Arabidopsis thaliana: one gene and its partners. The protein of the gene in region 1 interacts with the protein of each later gene in a pairwise test. Each region holds a gene or a part of one and is shown in the gene's direction. Other genes may lie near its edges. The genes, in order: AGL54, GIS2 and AGL83.

Region 1 (5,151 bases):
AGTTTCTACTGAATTCAAGCAAGCCCCAGTGTGTGTATTCCAGAACTTAATCTTCCCATCTCCTACACCACCACCAGTTGCAAGCAAAGTTGCTTGGAAAGGGCACCACGCAAGAGCTCTCACTGCAGCTGTATGTTCCTCAAACCTATGCAGCCATTGCCTAGTTGGTTTTGAGGAAGCGACAGAACGATGATCCCATATGTGTACTACATTGTAGTTACCACCACTTGCTAGTTTTTTTCCAGATTCTGACCACTTAAGACCACAAACCTCTTCAGTGTGACCCAAGTAAGTTCCAACAATGGAAGATCTGATCCTCACATCATTGTTGACGATCTTTCCATCCATTCCTCCAGTTGTTAGAATGTGATTGTTCCATGCCAATGATCCTACTCTTGACTCGTGACCACCTATCAATGTTCTCACTTGACGATTGGAAACAAAATCCCAAAGCTGGACTTCACTGTTGTCAAGACCAACTGCCAGATCAAGACCATCTTGCGTCCAGTTAATACTTGTGACAGGTCCCTTGTCTTCATCAATAGTCACAAGCTCAGACGTAGAGCCACTGGAAGCATCCCACAAGTAAACGGTGTCTCCCAAAGCAATGGCTAAGACGTTAGCACTGCCCCAGTCCAACAAGTTAAGGTAGAAGTCATCCATAAGACCAGGTGCATCCAAGACTCTCTCACTATTCTGAGGAATGTATCTACGAGGCTTTACGGATTTAGGGTTTTGGTGAGGAGAATCAGAGTGATTGCTAGAAAGCAGAGCTTTAGGTTTGTTTCTGAAAGCAAGAATACGGGTGCGATTCTGATTCATAACCACAGCCAATTGCGTCATGTAGGCTTTTCTTGATGCTGAAGTTATCTCATCGACATTACGTTTTCTTCCTTGGGTAAGAGCGTAGTTAGCAAAATCGAAATCCATGGCGGATCTGTTTGGGATGAATCTGTCCAAGTTTTGCTTGGAAAGTTTCCTCGGAAGAAAGTGGTCTGGAACTGTACACGTATCCGAATCCATTACAACGAAACAGAAGGAATTAAACGAAATTAGAGAAAGGGGACTAATCAAATAAAAGCTTGCAGAGAAGAGAAGTAAGCGTTAGTAAACAAGTTAGAGAAAGAGACAACGACTAATCAAATATATTCGAGCAGAGAGAGCGAAGAGAGCGAAGAGTTTTGTTTAGCCGCTGAGAGGGAAGCGAATGATGAAGAACATATATTGAAAATAGTGGAATCAATTTAGTTTTTTTTTTGTTGCTGTCCTTAAATTATATAGAAAATGTTTACTACAACGGTTAGATTGATATTTGTAAAATCGGATCTAATTTATATTTCCTCTATGATATCAAACATACAAAGGATTTTTATTAGACGTGATCAAAATAAAAAAAAGAAGAAGAAGGATTTTTACTACAATTATTGAAAAACCCCAACGGTTAGATTAATATCAGAACCGTGTTACACAATTATCAGATTTTATTTTCTCTCTGATAAGCTACTTCTTTCTTTTTTTTTTTTCTTTTTTTTTGTGTAAACAACAATTAAGGGTTTTTGCTTACCTTAATTAATTATTTAATTATTACCTTACAACGGTTAGAAATCGGATCTGATTTTAGATTACATCATTAAATGAAGAAACGATATGGAAATCGATCGAATTTAACAAATTCTATATAACCCTCTCAACTTTCACTGAATTATATCGTTCAGAGTTTATTTTCTCTTTGAGAAATAACTGAAAGCTTCTTTTTCTTTCTTTCTCTGTGTAAACAAACATCACAATGGATTCTTCAACGTCTACGAAGAAGAATACCAAATTGTTTGTAAGAAACCAAACTTGTTTCAAGAAATCGTCTCTGTCTTCTTCCAATGCAAAAAAGACCACGAATTTGTCGATGAGAGAACAGACCATGTTTAAGAAAGCCTTGGAGCTTTCGACTCTGTGCGACATCGAAGTCTGTGTCATATACTATGGTCGTGACGGAAAACTCATCAAGACATGGCCGGAAGATCAATCTAAGGTTCGAGACATGGCAGAGAGGTTTAGCAGATTACACGAGAGAGAACGATGCAAAAAAAGAACCAACCTTTCTCTGTTTCTACGTAAGCAGATCCTCCACGACAAGAAATTGTCGGAGAAAGTCTTAGAGATGGAGGATTCGTTAGAAAGTGGTCTACGGGTACTACAAGATAAGCTTCTGTTACTCCAACCCGAGAAAAACCAGACCGAGTTAGGTCAGAGCTGTGCGGTTTATTCCACAACGTATCCATTGTCTTCTCCTTCGCTGATTGAGGATCATCAACATCAACAACAATGGACAGAACCATTGTCAAACACAGAGTAAGACCTATCAACGTCATCATTGAGTCAACATGAGAGCAAATTTTCAGTCTTTCCCTATAACCATGATGATTGTAGCTTCTGTCAAATCCCTAACTCTGTTTCTAGCTTTGAGCAATCGACTTTACTTGGGGAACAAGGATCTGGTCTAGGAAGTAACTCTGATCTTCCTCCCATGGTGTTTACTCCTCAGATGCAGACACAAACCCCACTTGTCCCCTTTGATCAGTTTGCGCCATGGAATCAAGCACCATCGTTTGCAGATCCAATGATGTTCTCTTATAATTAGGTCTTGTTGTTCCAAGATCTGTTCTTTGACTTGGTCAACGTTCTGTTATTTTCTATTATATATTCTCAGTTTAGGTTATGAGTTTAATTTGTATGTTTTCTAAGTATGTATGAATGCTATTTTTTCAAGTTTTAAAAAAAGTCTTGGCTTCTTCTATATTTGTATGAGTCTACAATTTGAGTTTGAAAACCTGCTTTATTAAGATCTTTAATATACAATAGACATTGAAATGAATGCTAGATGTACATAATTTATGCAGATAAGCCAACTAATTGAGTAATTGAGCTTGTCTCGGTGTGATCTTCAGTTTAATTTTACGAATCGATTTAATGGAAGAGAAGATAATAGGATAAGCAAATTACTGCAGCTTCCGACAAAAGATGATGTCAAAAGTAGTGTTTTGTCCAAGAGGTGGAGAAACTCTGGCTTCGTTGAATTTAGATTCCAATGAATTTCCAGATTACAATGCCTTAGTGAGTTTTGCTGATAGGTCTTTAGATTCCTCTAAGGATTCATGCTTGTACAAGCTCAGGTAAAGTGTGTCCGGAGGATTGAGAATGAACAGTTTTGTGTCAGTGTCACGTGGTGGATAGATTCTGTAGTTAAGCGTTAACTTAAGCATCTTGATGCTACGTATCATGTGAAGCGTTAGAGTTTTAAAAGTGATTCCACTAAGTCTTTATATATGTTAGACATTGGTGTACTTAAAGACTCCATCAGGTTTTGATGCGTGATTTCGAGTCAGTTTCTTTACCTTATGTCTAAGTTCATGTGTTTAGAACAGAATGTATAAGCCAATGGTGAAGCTATACAATTGCTTATCTTGTCTTGTTCAGTTCTTGAAGATTTGAGCATTGCAAGAAGGCTAGATGATAATGTTAAGGTTTTAGGAGTGGACTTCTCAGTCATTAATCAGTCTCAGTGTTGAGTTTCATGAAATGAAAGCTGGTGCCCTTGTTTTTGATCATGAACAGAGGTTTAAATTGATGCCTCTTGTTTGTATGGAAGCTCTTCAATATTTTGTATGGAGCTGCGAGGAACTGAAATTGCAACCTTAAAGACTTTGTTCTAACTGAGATCTAAAACTAAAATCAGAGAAGACCAAAGAATCAGTGAAATCGGAGAGATTAGACGGAATACAAAGATCGATGAATTATACACATACCAACCAGAGCATAGAAAGAGAATCGGAGCAATATCAAAGGTAAAACTAGGCAAAAAAAGGAAGAAGTAAGGGGTAAAAATGAGAGGATTAATCTACTTATTCTATGTACAACAACAACACAAGAACTTAATTTAGTACGCAGAGTTTAATATAGTCAATTAGCCATTATCTAACCAAGTAGAAACTTGTAGGCATGTTTCCATGTTTGATGCAATAAGGTAAATCGAAATAGTTAATAAAGGATTCAAAAAGGAAAGAAAATAACATTACATACTCCTGACTCACAATAAGATCCTGTCATCACTGGAAAATCAACAAAATTTCAGCCTAGTCATACTAGTAGGTAACTTATAATCCTATAAGCCAAAGTAAGCTGCATAAACCAAACTAACCACAAGCACTGTCACCATTGAAAATCAACAGAATTTACAACTTTGAATTCCAAAACGCTACATAACCTAGAGGTAAGAGCTGCATAGTTAGTTACTGGTGGTGGATGAAAGAAAATTAACTTGAAGCTAAACTAAACTAAAGAAAATTCTAGCATTCACAACGTCATAAGCCAATGATAATTATATGATGCAAAACCAATCAACGAAACATATTAGAAAGAAGGAACCATATTAACAAGAACAAACCCACAAATATCCTTAAATATAATTCAGTCACAATTTAAACTTTAAAAACAAAATCATTTATTCATGGATACAAGACTTAATCTGATAAAAATTAAATCAATAATGGAGTATCGGAGGAGAACGATTCGATTTTTTGTGACCTCGGGCTGTTCGATCCACCGTGATCTCATAATCTCCACCGACACAGGGTCTCAACGGCGACTAACGGGCCATCGTTACCGACTGATTCCATCTGTTTCCCAGATCCGGTAAGCTTTTCTGGCGCTAGACAACGAACTTGTATCCACTGTAAATTTTGCTTTCAACTCACCCTTCTGGATTGTTGTTCTTCTTATTGGCATGCTTCGGTGAGTTGGTTAGGTGTAGATTCAACGTTTATTCTGAGCTGATTCTTTGACTTTGTAGTTTCGGGAATTCAAACTATCTGTGGGTTAATTTTAATCTGTAAAATGCTCTTTGCTTCTTTGACTGCATAATTTTTGCTATAGACAATCGGTGCTTTAGGTCATTAAAGGGGAGCAGATTCTTAAACCTTTTTTTGTTTTTATCACAATGAACAATGATCATCAGGATCCTCGGAGGTGTCTCTTTTGTTTGGAATTTTCAAAGATGTAATGAAACCTTTGTTTGAAATAAGAAAGGAAAACAATAGATGTGCTAACTTTAATTGCCATTGTTTACTGCGTTTGCTCCTTCTTGGCCATTCTTTGGCA
Region 2 (5,169 bases), 7.5 Mb from region 1:
GTAGTATGGTGGGGGCGGAGAACTGTAAACGTATGGTGGTGGGGGAGACTTGTAGTTAACCTTAGGCGAAGGAGAGTAGTATGGTGGGGGTGGGGAGCTGTAGACGTATGGTGGTGGTGGAGATTTGTAGTTTACCTTAGGCGAAGGAGAGTAGTATGGTGGGGGATGGGAGCTGTAGACGTATGGTGGTGGTGGAGATTTGTAGTTTACCTTAGGCGAAGGAGAGTGGTATGGTGGGGGAGGGGAACTGTAGACGTATGGTGGTGGTGGAGACTTGTACTCAACCTTTGGTGAAGGAGAGTAGTAAGGTGGGGGAGGGGAGCTGTAGACGTATGGTGGTGGGGGAGACTTGTACTCAACCTTTGGTGAAGGAGAGTAGTAAGGTGGAGGAGGGGAGCTGTAGACGTATGGTGGTGGGGGAGACTTGTAATCAACCTTAGGTGAAGGAGAGTAGTATGGTGGGGGCGGGGAGCTGTAGACGTATGGTGGTGGGGGAGACTTGTACGCAACCTTTGGTGAAGGAGAGTAGTAAGGTGGGGGCGGAGAGCTGTAGACGTATGGTGGTGGGGGAGACTTGTACGCAACCTTTGGCGAAGGAGAGTAGTATTGTGGGGGCGGGGAGCTGTAGACGTATGGTGGTGGGGGAGACTTGTAGTCAACCTTAGGCGAAGGAGAGTAGTATGGTGGGGGTGGAGAGCTGTAAACATACGGTGGTGGTGGGGACTTGTAGTCAACCTTTGGAGATGGAGAGTAGTATGGTGGGGGTGGGGAGCTGTAGACGTATGGTGGTGGTGGGGACTTGTAGTAAACTTTTGGAGATGGTGAGTAGTACGGTGGGGGTGGAGAGCTGTAGACATATGGTGGTGGTGGGGACTTGTACTCTACCTTAGGAGAAGGAGAGTAGTATGGTGGAGGTGGAGAATTGTAGACGTACGGTGGTGGGGGAGACTTGTATTCAACCTTTGGCGAAGGAGAGAAGTATGGTGGGGGTGGGGAACTGTAGACGTACGGTGGTGGGGGAGATTTGTAGTCAACCTTTGGCGAAGGAGAGTAGTATGGTGGGGGTGGGGAGTTGTAGACGTACGGTGGTGGTGGGGACTTGTAGTCAACCTTTGGAGATGGAGAGTAGTACGGTGGGGGTGGAGAACTGTAGACATATGGTGGTGGTGGGGACTTGTACTCTATCTTAGGAGAAGGAGAGTAGTATGGTGGAGGTGGAGAATTGTAGACGTACGGTGGTGGTGGAGACTTGTATTCAACCTTTGGCGAAGGAGAATAGTATGGTGGGGGTGGGGAGCTGTAGACGTATGGTGGTGGAGGAGACTTATAGTCAACCTTCGGAGAAGGAGAATAGTATGGTGGAGGTGGGGAACTGTAGACGTAAGGTGGTGGTGGAGACTTATAATCAACCTTTGGTGAAGGAGAATAGTATGGTGGAGGTGGAGAGTTGTAGACGTTTGGTGGTGGTGGAGACTTATAGTTTACTTTTGGAGAAGGAGAATAGTATGATGGAGGTGGTGGAGAAATATAAACGTATGGTTTTGGATGTGGCGCGTACTTAGGGCTTTTGTGTTCATGGCTGGGAGAATTGTAATGTGGGGTTTGAGGGGATGAGTAAGGAGAGGAGTAAGGGTATGATGTCACTGTAGCCGCAATGGCACTTAGGACCACAACGTAAACCATGCAATGCCCTAACCCCATCGTTCTTGAGGATCTCATCATACCCATCTCTTTATTTTTATTTATTTGTTTTGGTTTTATGTTATACTTGAACATGAATACCATTTATATAGTCTTTTTTTGTGTGTGTAAATATTATACTATCTTCTCAAGTTGGCTTCGTGTGTGGCACTTCCAATTACATTAGAGGACGTGCAATGTTGTTTGTTTGAAATAAAGTAGCAATTCGATCGTGGAGAATATGAAATTTTATTAGATCCTCAATTTTTGAAATATTTGTTCGTTTTCTTTTGTTTGAACTTTGTCAACTCAAATAATTAGAAGAACAAAAGACTATTAATGATTATTTTAGCTATTGAGAAAATTTTTGTTTCATAAATTTTATGTGACAAGGGAAAAAATATTTTATTTCTCTTATGATGAATTAAAAGGCTGTGTATTAACTACTGCTTTTGTTTCTAAAGGATTATTGAAGAATTTTAGGGTATATTAGAGTTGCTTAAGCTGTTCTTCTTCTGTTAAAGCAACTGCATGCGAATCGATCGTGTGAGCAACGTTTGGTTCACGACCATGTTCTTTCCTCATGGGCGACCACTTTCATGATCCATTATAATAAAACAAATATGACGAAGACAAATTAACATAATATATCGTCACTGTTGCAGTTTGTTATGGAGAGTAACATTAATGAATCTGTTTTTAACAAGATCGTACTTCGAGACGAAAAGCAAAATCCAAACACAAAAAAAAGTAATCGCGCAGATGAGGAAACAAAGATGTGACACCACGCAGTTTACCATCTAACTACATTAATTTGAGGGATCCACCTGAAAACTTGTACTATATGTTAATTCATATGCATGGTTGTTTTATTTTACTTTTTGGTCTTGTGGTTAGTATTACCTACTCAAAAATGAGGATTTGATTAGATGAGGCAACATACAATTTGATTAACTACTCAAAAACATGGTTGTTCTAAAACTGACCATAAGGAAGAAAAAAATGTATATATATCACGACAGAGATTTGAAGTTTTGGACTAAAGCCTCACACATAGCCATCAGTGTTATATACTGTATATAAGCTGTCACTATTAAACATAGAAACAGGAACCTTAAAGATACAACTATATACTATCTTGACATCAAATACGTGTACTAAAACCTTTTCATAAAAGATGCATTGACATGACATATCAATGATGGTAGTTCGACGGGTAGAAATCATCAAGGCAAATCCGCATTTGAATTGAATGCTCACTAGATTATCTACAAGGAGACAAACCAATTAGCTCACTAGTTTAGTTCAATTCTTGTCTGGCTAATCCTATCTACATATACAAGACTATAATATAGCAAAATTAGAAAGAATATAGCTAGAAACGGGTAAATATATACTACTTACCAAAAACTAAATGTGCCTGAATAGGTCTATTATAGTTAATAGTTATTCAGTGTAAATTATCTATGTACATACCCCATCGGGAATTAAATGCAAGAAACATAGAGGAGACCGTACTTCGAAGTTGCAAATTTAACACTAAGTTGAAGAATCTAGAAATAGAAAGCCAAAATCTTCCTTTACTTCAACTCTACAATTTCAATCTTTTCTCTGTACTTAGCCATCCAGAGTCATAACCACCACTATATTAAAATGAAGACTTATGATTTCATGAACGTCAACTCTTTCTCTCCTAAGGAAAGACCCATTCGCCTCTTTGGCTTCGAGTTTGGAGCTTCTCATGAAGAATCTGAGTCCAAAGACAATTACAACGAGAACAATGAAAGCATCAAAGACGATAACAAAGAAAAAAGATTCAAGTGCCACTATTGTTTCCGGAACTTCCCTACTTCACAAGCCCTAGGCGGCCATCAAAACGCTCACAAGAGAGAACGTCAACAAACTAAACGCTTCAACCTCCATTCAAACGCAGCCGCTTTCTTCCACCGCCAACAAAACCACATTGCTGCTTCTAGGCTCTACGAGGATCGCTATAGCCTTGAAGCTGTTCAAATCAACGACGCGAGATTAGGGTTATGTCGTATGTATAACTCATCTGCGAGTTTTAATCGTGACCGTTCATCTTATTATAATAGATATATTCCTTGGTTCATCGGTGATCACCAGACTAGACCAACGTATGTCGGTGGTGGTAGCAGCAGCCATGGTCTGTTTTACGAGTCCAAGAAGAATGTACCGGACCACGTGAGTTTGGATCTACGCCTCTAGTTCCATTCTTTTAGTATCTCTCTCTAGCTAGTTCTTAAAAAAAAAAAAAGAGAGACTAGTTTTTTTTCCTTCTTTCAAATACTTTTTATTTTATTTTAGTCTACTTGATTAATTATGAATTTATGATAGTGTATCCCCGTAGATATCATGTTATATTAACAGTTAAACAATTTTATGGAGATGAACTTTAACTTCAGATAGTTTCTTTCTGAGATTTAAAGTCTTAAATATTATCGACGCATTCCAATCTCAGAATAGGTTTATATCTCACATTATAAGTATAGAATTGAGAATGGACCTTAACCCATGAAACTTAACAAAAACAAAATTAACATATGCTAAAATCTTCGGATTGTATTTTAAAATCGCTACTTGAAACTTCAACTTGTATCTAAAAAGGTAAAATTATTAATTGAATAATATAGTGTTTAGAAGCGAAACATTCGTCAATCACATCTAACGACGGTTAAAGTATGTGATTAATTGGGAATATTTAAATGATCGATTTGATAATCAGCAAGACAGCAACCATAAAAGTGGACACTTTAATTTTCGTAAAAAACAATTTGACCTTTTATTTTCTAAAAAAAATATTCAAATATCAAAAAATACGAATTTATTTGTAACATTTTTTTCGATTTTTGTTTTTTAATATTGTTATTTTTTTCATTTGACACATCGTTATTTTCATATTACTTACCATAAACCCATTTATCACCAATAGAAATTATCCTCGAACCTTCTTTTCAACCACACCAGTTTATTTATTTAACATTCTCTTTAGAAACTTTAAAGCATAGCTTAAAGTAGTACGAAACCGAAAACTTAACTAACACATTTGTTAGCTCAACTCTCTCTTTTTTAAAAAAAATCGTCAATTATTTTGCATTTCTTTTTTGACAACATATATTTGGTTTCGAAAGACCGTTTGATTGGTTATGAAATGTCCACGCCAATAACATTAACTCTCAAATCTAAATCGAATCAGTAAAGGGTCCCAAGGGATACATCACCACTAAGTTTAAACTTGAAAATGTTTACATTTTTCTTTCAAGTTTTTTTGCCTCCACCTAAAGACAAACCAAATAAATGTTTAAATTTATTCGAATTGTGATGTAAATAACGCCTGAATGCAGCATTTAATAACTCAGTTTCTGACAAGAAATACACATCCGCCTAAATAATTCCGTTAGCCTTAATGTTTATACAGATGGATTAACGTATGGACTCAAGATAGACACATATCGTTGAGAACAATGT
Region 3 (5,133 bases), about 11 Mb from region 1:
ACCAAATTTTTGTGATAAGCTCTCTCTGTATAGAGCTAGGATTTTCCGATCGCCGTTCAAACGAATCTATATATCCAATAGGTGTTGATGAATTTGGGAAATACATACTTCATGAACAGCATAAATGCATAATTCAATATTTGGTTCATACAACCTCTATTGTTTAATAATTTCTTTGTTGTTCAAAGTTTCCTCCCCAACTGCAAAATCGCAAAAGAGAACCTTAGTTATCTTGTAACATCCAAATACACAGAATCTTGAAACCAAAATTGATAAACAGACTTTAAGATGAATCCAATTTGACCTAATCCAGATCGAGATCGAGACTACAAAAGCACAACTGAAAATTTTGAAGAACGGTTTGAAATTAGAAGATGATCAAAGTAACCTTTAAGCTCGACCAATAAAAAATAATTACCAATCTTTTATCTCTCTTCCTGGACACGGATCCATACGTAGTTGTCACTAAATCTTCGCTGATCGGGATAAAGAAACAAACCTTCAACTAAGGGTTTGAGACCAAGAAGATCTTCTGAAGTTGCAAATGGATTAGCCGCATGGTTATTGTAAATCACATTAGTCTCATCGCGATTGAGTCAGTGAGTATTAGATGCTTGAAACGCGAGGTTTGTTTCGTGCACCGCCGAAGAATTTCTAATGTTCATACAACCCCAAACGCAGGCGCCACCACATAAATGTATTACTTATCCCACATTTGTATTTAAATCCCAAAAAATTATATTTGAAGTTACTGTCTTTTCTTTGTCTGTTCTAACCTTTCATCTTGCTAGTTATCATTAAAAAACTACTATAAACTTTTAACGCTAAAGATGTATCATGGTGATATTATTAGTTTAATTTTGGAATAAATTTTGGTGAAAGTTAGAATTAGATTGTTAATTTTCACCTCAACTTTATGTTATTTTGACCCCTAATTTTGTCTAGATTTGTTGATATTGCATCTGGACAACTTTTGCTCTATCGGCAAGATTTTGTTGTGGGATATGATTCGTGAAACCTCTTGAGTAAAATAGTGGAACTTATAGAGGAAATGTATAGATAAGAAAATTGAATTATAGAGTAATAATATTTTTTCTTAAATTTTGTGGAGGACTAAATAAATCACTCTAATATATTCAACCAGTTAAATTAGTTGTATTTATTAACATTAAATTTAACAAGTTGATACTGTAAAATTAGTTTATAATCTTGTATTGATCAAATTGTCTCACTTGTATCTTCCTATAATCTCACAGTAAAATTTTATAATTAGTCAAATTTTGATACTAATATTTATGTAAAAAATAATTATTATTTTTATATTTCATTTAATATTTTGATAAAATAATAAATATGCAATGTCCAGCAATACTAATTTATTGAGGTTTTATTGTGTGTCATGGAGTTATTTTTTTCATGGATACATTTCGAAGAAATATAACTATGATAAGCATTACTTCAATTTACACAACTAGTGAGTTTTAAACAGATTTAGGGAATCAGCCAATATGGTTCAAAAACCTTTTTTGTAAAGATTTACATACATAATAAAGTTCAATTTGCAGGAAAAAAGCATTACTTGAAGATAATAAAAATTTTAGCGCTCTAATGAATTCAAACGACCTTCTCTTATACAAAAAAATCATAAAACTCATTTAAAAAACATAGAGTCGAGCTTGTCTTGTAGCGCAAACTACGCTTGAGAACTATGTGGTACCTCTTTAGTTTTTTTTTTTAATCGTGATTTGCTAAATCTATTAACCAATCCAGTCATATTGTTAAAAACTATTGTGGAAGAAAGAGCAAAAGAGAGTAGGTGAAATCATTGGGCCAAAGAGGGATGCTCGATCGGGTTCTCCTTCAATTCCTTAGTTGATTCAAATTTTATTTTACAATCCATTAATAAATTAATTCACATATACCTTAACCCCAACCTTGACAACAAAAAAATCTTAAATTAAAATTTAAAAGATAAATCAACATTTCGTTGAGCTCATAGTATGTGAACTTTTCTAGTCATTATGGTTTGTCCTAAAACAGTATGTGAACTTTTCTAGTCTTTTCATATCGCTGAGAGCTAAGTCATGTTTCTTATTCTTAAAACAATAGTCTCTACTCTCTCATAGTAATGTTGGTCTTGTCATAGAGGTTTTGATGTATAGTTACATGATTATTTGGTTGGGCTTAATTTCATTTTATAACCGTTGCATAAATATCATTCTACTTTTTTTCTGTATTGGCGGTAATTCCTTCTTGAATATATTCCTCTAAAAAAAAATCAACTCGTCATTCTCGAATATTTTTAATTTATTTATATAAGAAAATAATAAAGGATAAAAAGAAGGATTCTGGTGGATAGTTGGAACTTAGCCCATACAATATTACGTTGCATGGTTTACTCTATTTAGTAGTTACGTGAACCGTACGTTAGAGATTGAAATCAAATTGGTTTGGTTCAGAATTGGGTTTTGTTGGAACGATATCGGTTTGCTGTGGTACATAGTCGAAACTAGTTTAGGTGGATGATGAGGTTTCGATATTTCCTTTTTTATTTGAGATTCGATATTACCTTATTCATATGAGATTCAATATTTCCTTATTTATATGAGATTCAATATTTTCTTATTTTTATGAGATTCGTTCCTTATTTATACGAGATTGAGAGATTATGGCTTTCACTTGTCAATTATCTTTCTCCACGCAAAAACAAAAACCGTCGCTGTGGTGAAATAGATAAAATCAGAATGGTGAAAAAAGGAGGTACGAAGAGGAAGATTGCGATTGAGACGATACAGAAGAGCGATTACCTTAGGGTTACTTGCACCAAACGTCGTGAAGGTCTCTTTAGCAAAGCTTCTCAGCTTTGTCTTCTCTCCGATGCACAGATCGCTATCTTAGCGACTCCTCCTACTTCTGAATCCAACATCTCCTTCTACTCTTTCGGTCACTCCTCCGTTGATGCCGTTGTCTCTTCTTTCCTCTCCGGGCAACGTTGTGTTCCTCTTCAGGAGGATACCAAAGAGATGAGAGAGGACGTTGCTATTTGCTTGTCTCGTACAAATCTAGGGTTAGGGTTTTGGTGGAACAACGAGAGCCTCAACAAATCGGAGAATCCTCAAGAGATTAGTGACGCTATCAACTCTATGTTAACGCTCTTGAGTAATCTCAAGGAATTGAGTGGGGAGGAAGCTTTAGTTAACGATCACAAGGACTTGAAGAAGAATGAGAGGAGCGATGTTGTTTTACAACACGGAACTCAATATGAAACCCTAAATCCTAACTCCAACACTACTACAATTTGTTGCGTCCCTGATGAATTACCTGCCAATTCCAACGAGATTGTTGGAATCTCACCAAATCCTTTGATTATGCTAGAAAAGAAGAAATCACAAATTGAAGAAAAGTTTGAGAAGGAATGGCAAGTTTCAGTTACTCGAATTGAAAATGAAGCCACGAGTTCTTATGCAAAACGAAGAAGAAGTATATGACCTGGATTAATTGAATTAGGAAAAAGAGCATTCTTATGCAATAAGGACATTTACAATTATGCTTTAGTTAAATTAGTCTTTCCTAGAAGAATTATGTTAAGCATTACTTTGTTATATGCTCTCGTGTATATGCTCTCTCACGAGAGCAAGAAGCAAAACTTCTATTTATTTCTTTTGAACACAATTTGGAGTTCTTACACCAACTGCAGCCGTAGTTTTTTTTAGTAGAAACTCATATAATTAAAAAAAAAAAAAAAAAAAAAAAAAGAAAAGAAAGAGATGAGAGAGAATCTCTGAAATTTCTAACTTTAGAATCGTTTCTATAATTCTTATACGTTAGTATTTTTGTTTTTTGGATATAAAAGTAAAATATTAATACTTTTTGGTTTTTAGACACTATATAAATCCTATACGTTGGAGGTGCTTTAGTTTCTTACCACAAATCCCAACGTGATGTCGTTTTACAACATAGAACTCAAGAGTCAAGATCAGTGGCGGACCACGTTGGTCTTGGGTGGGGCATGTGCCCTACACTGAATTCTATAAATCCTTTCTCAGTTAAAATTCAGTATAAGCAGCATGGCTCCAATAGAGTGCACCAAGTTTCATTTTCCATATAGTAGTCGATCGTTGGCTCCAACCTTACCAAACAAACAATGAACCAAGAATATATATGTTTTAAACATTGGCACAGAGCGAACTCATCTATCTTTTGACATGAATTCTTTGAGAGATTCAGATTTTTGAACTTGGAGTGACTACAAAGAGATTGCACCATATATACTTGTATAGTTGTATACACCACAACATTAGGGAAGTATCCATTAGTTAGCACCCATATATATACTTGTATAGTTGTATACACCACATCATTTTTGCCTTAATTAATTACTAACAATTCAGAAATACCAAAAATATCTAAGGATAACTCTCACATTCATCGAATTATTTTAAATGAAAAAGTTTCAAGCTTATGATTTTGTCAACAATATATTGCGGTTCGATCATCGATTATACTAACACAGACCATACTTAGTGTATATTCGATATGCTTATAATTAGTTGCAAACATGAAAATTAGATTTTATGTTTATCATCAACATAATACCAAATTTGAATTTGGACGGTAAACTACTACGACAATAATAACCCAACCAATAGACTATAAAGTTACAGATTAGTTAAATACATAAACTCGATTAACTAACACGGAGAATCACATATTTTCATGTCCTAAATTTTCTCTCAATCACACTTCACCACTACAATAATATTTCAGTCCTGTCTACCAAAAAAATAATAATATTTCAGTCCTCGCTCAACACTCATTATCTCTAGTAGCTATGTTTATAGTTTTGGACTGGAAGAAACTACTCGTCTCGGCCACCGAACATTCCCATCAGGTCTTTACCTGAACCCATCTGCTTCATGAGACTCTGCAGACCACTCATGCCGCCAATCTGCTTTAGCATCTGAGCCGGTAGGACCTTACTCAATTGCTGCGAGTTCTTGTTTTTTGAGAGTGCGCTCATATTTCCTTTCTCTAGGTTCTTAAGCCCTTTCACCTTCCCCCACATAGTTGTTAACCTTTTGTACTCTTCCAACATCTCCATCACTTCTCTTACAATCCTCCCTGACCCTCTTG

The links.
Region 2: the proteins of AGL54 (region 1) and GIS2 interact in a two-hybrid assay, tested with the Arabidopsis thaliana proteins (one large-scale study listed by BioGRID).
Region 3: the proteins of AGL54 (region 1) and AGL83 interact in a two-hybrid assay, tested with the Arabidopsis thaliana proteins (one large-scale study listed by BioGRID).

Annotation. Positions count from the first base shown.
Region 1 is NC_003076.8:9,530,059-9,535,209, forward strand, and holds AGL54 (AGAMOUS-like 54), read left to right. Parts: upstream 1-1,681; 5' UTR 1,682-1,786; coding exon 1,787-2,350; 3' UTR 2,351-2,639; downstream 2,640-5,151. Other genes in the region: CDC20.3 (cell division cycle 20.2, cofactor of APC complex-like protein), read right to left, coding at 1-1,023; GLR2.1 (glutamate receptor 2.1), read right to left, coding at 5,102-5,151.
Region 2 is NC_003076.8:2,040,153-2,045,321, forward strand, and holds GIS2 (C2H2 and C2HC zinc fingers superfamily protein), read left to right. Parts: upstream 1-3,266; 5' UTR 3,267-3,333; coding exon 3,334-3,909; 3' UTR 3,910-4,048; downstream 4,049-5,169. Other genes in the region: EXT10 (Proline-rich extensin-like family protein), read right to left, coding at 1-1,776; AT5G06645 (gibberellin-regulated-like protein), read left to right, coding at 681-821, 897-1,190. UniProt on the Arabidopsis thaliana protein: Probable transcription factor required for the initiation of inflorescence trichomes in response to gibberellin and cytokinin. Is not involved in the regulation of trichome branching. Is functionally equivalent to ZFP8.
Region 3 is NC_003076.8:20,072,698-20,077,830, forward strand, and holds AGL83 (AGAMOUS-like 83), read left to right. Parts: upstream 1-2,630; coding exon 2,631-3,488; downstream 3,489-5,133. Other genes in the region: AT5G49500 (Signal recognition particle, SRP54 subunit protein), read right to left, coding at 4,859-5,133.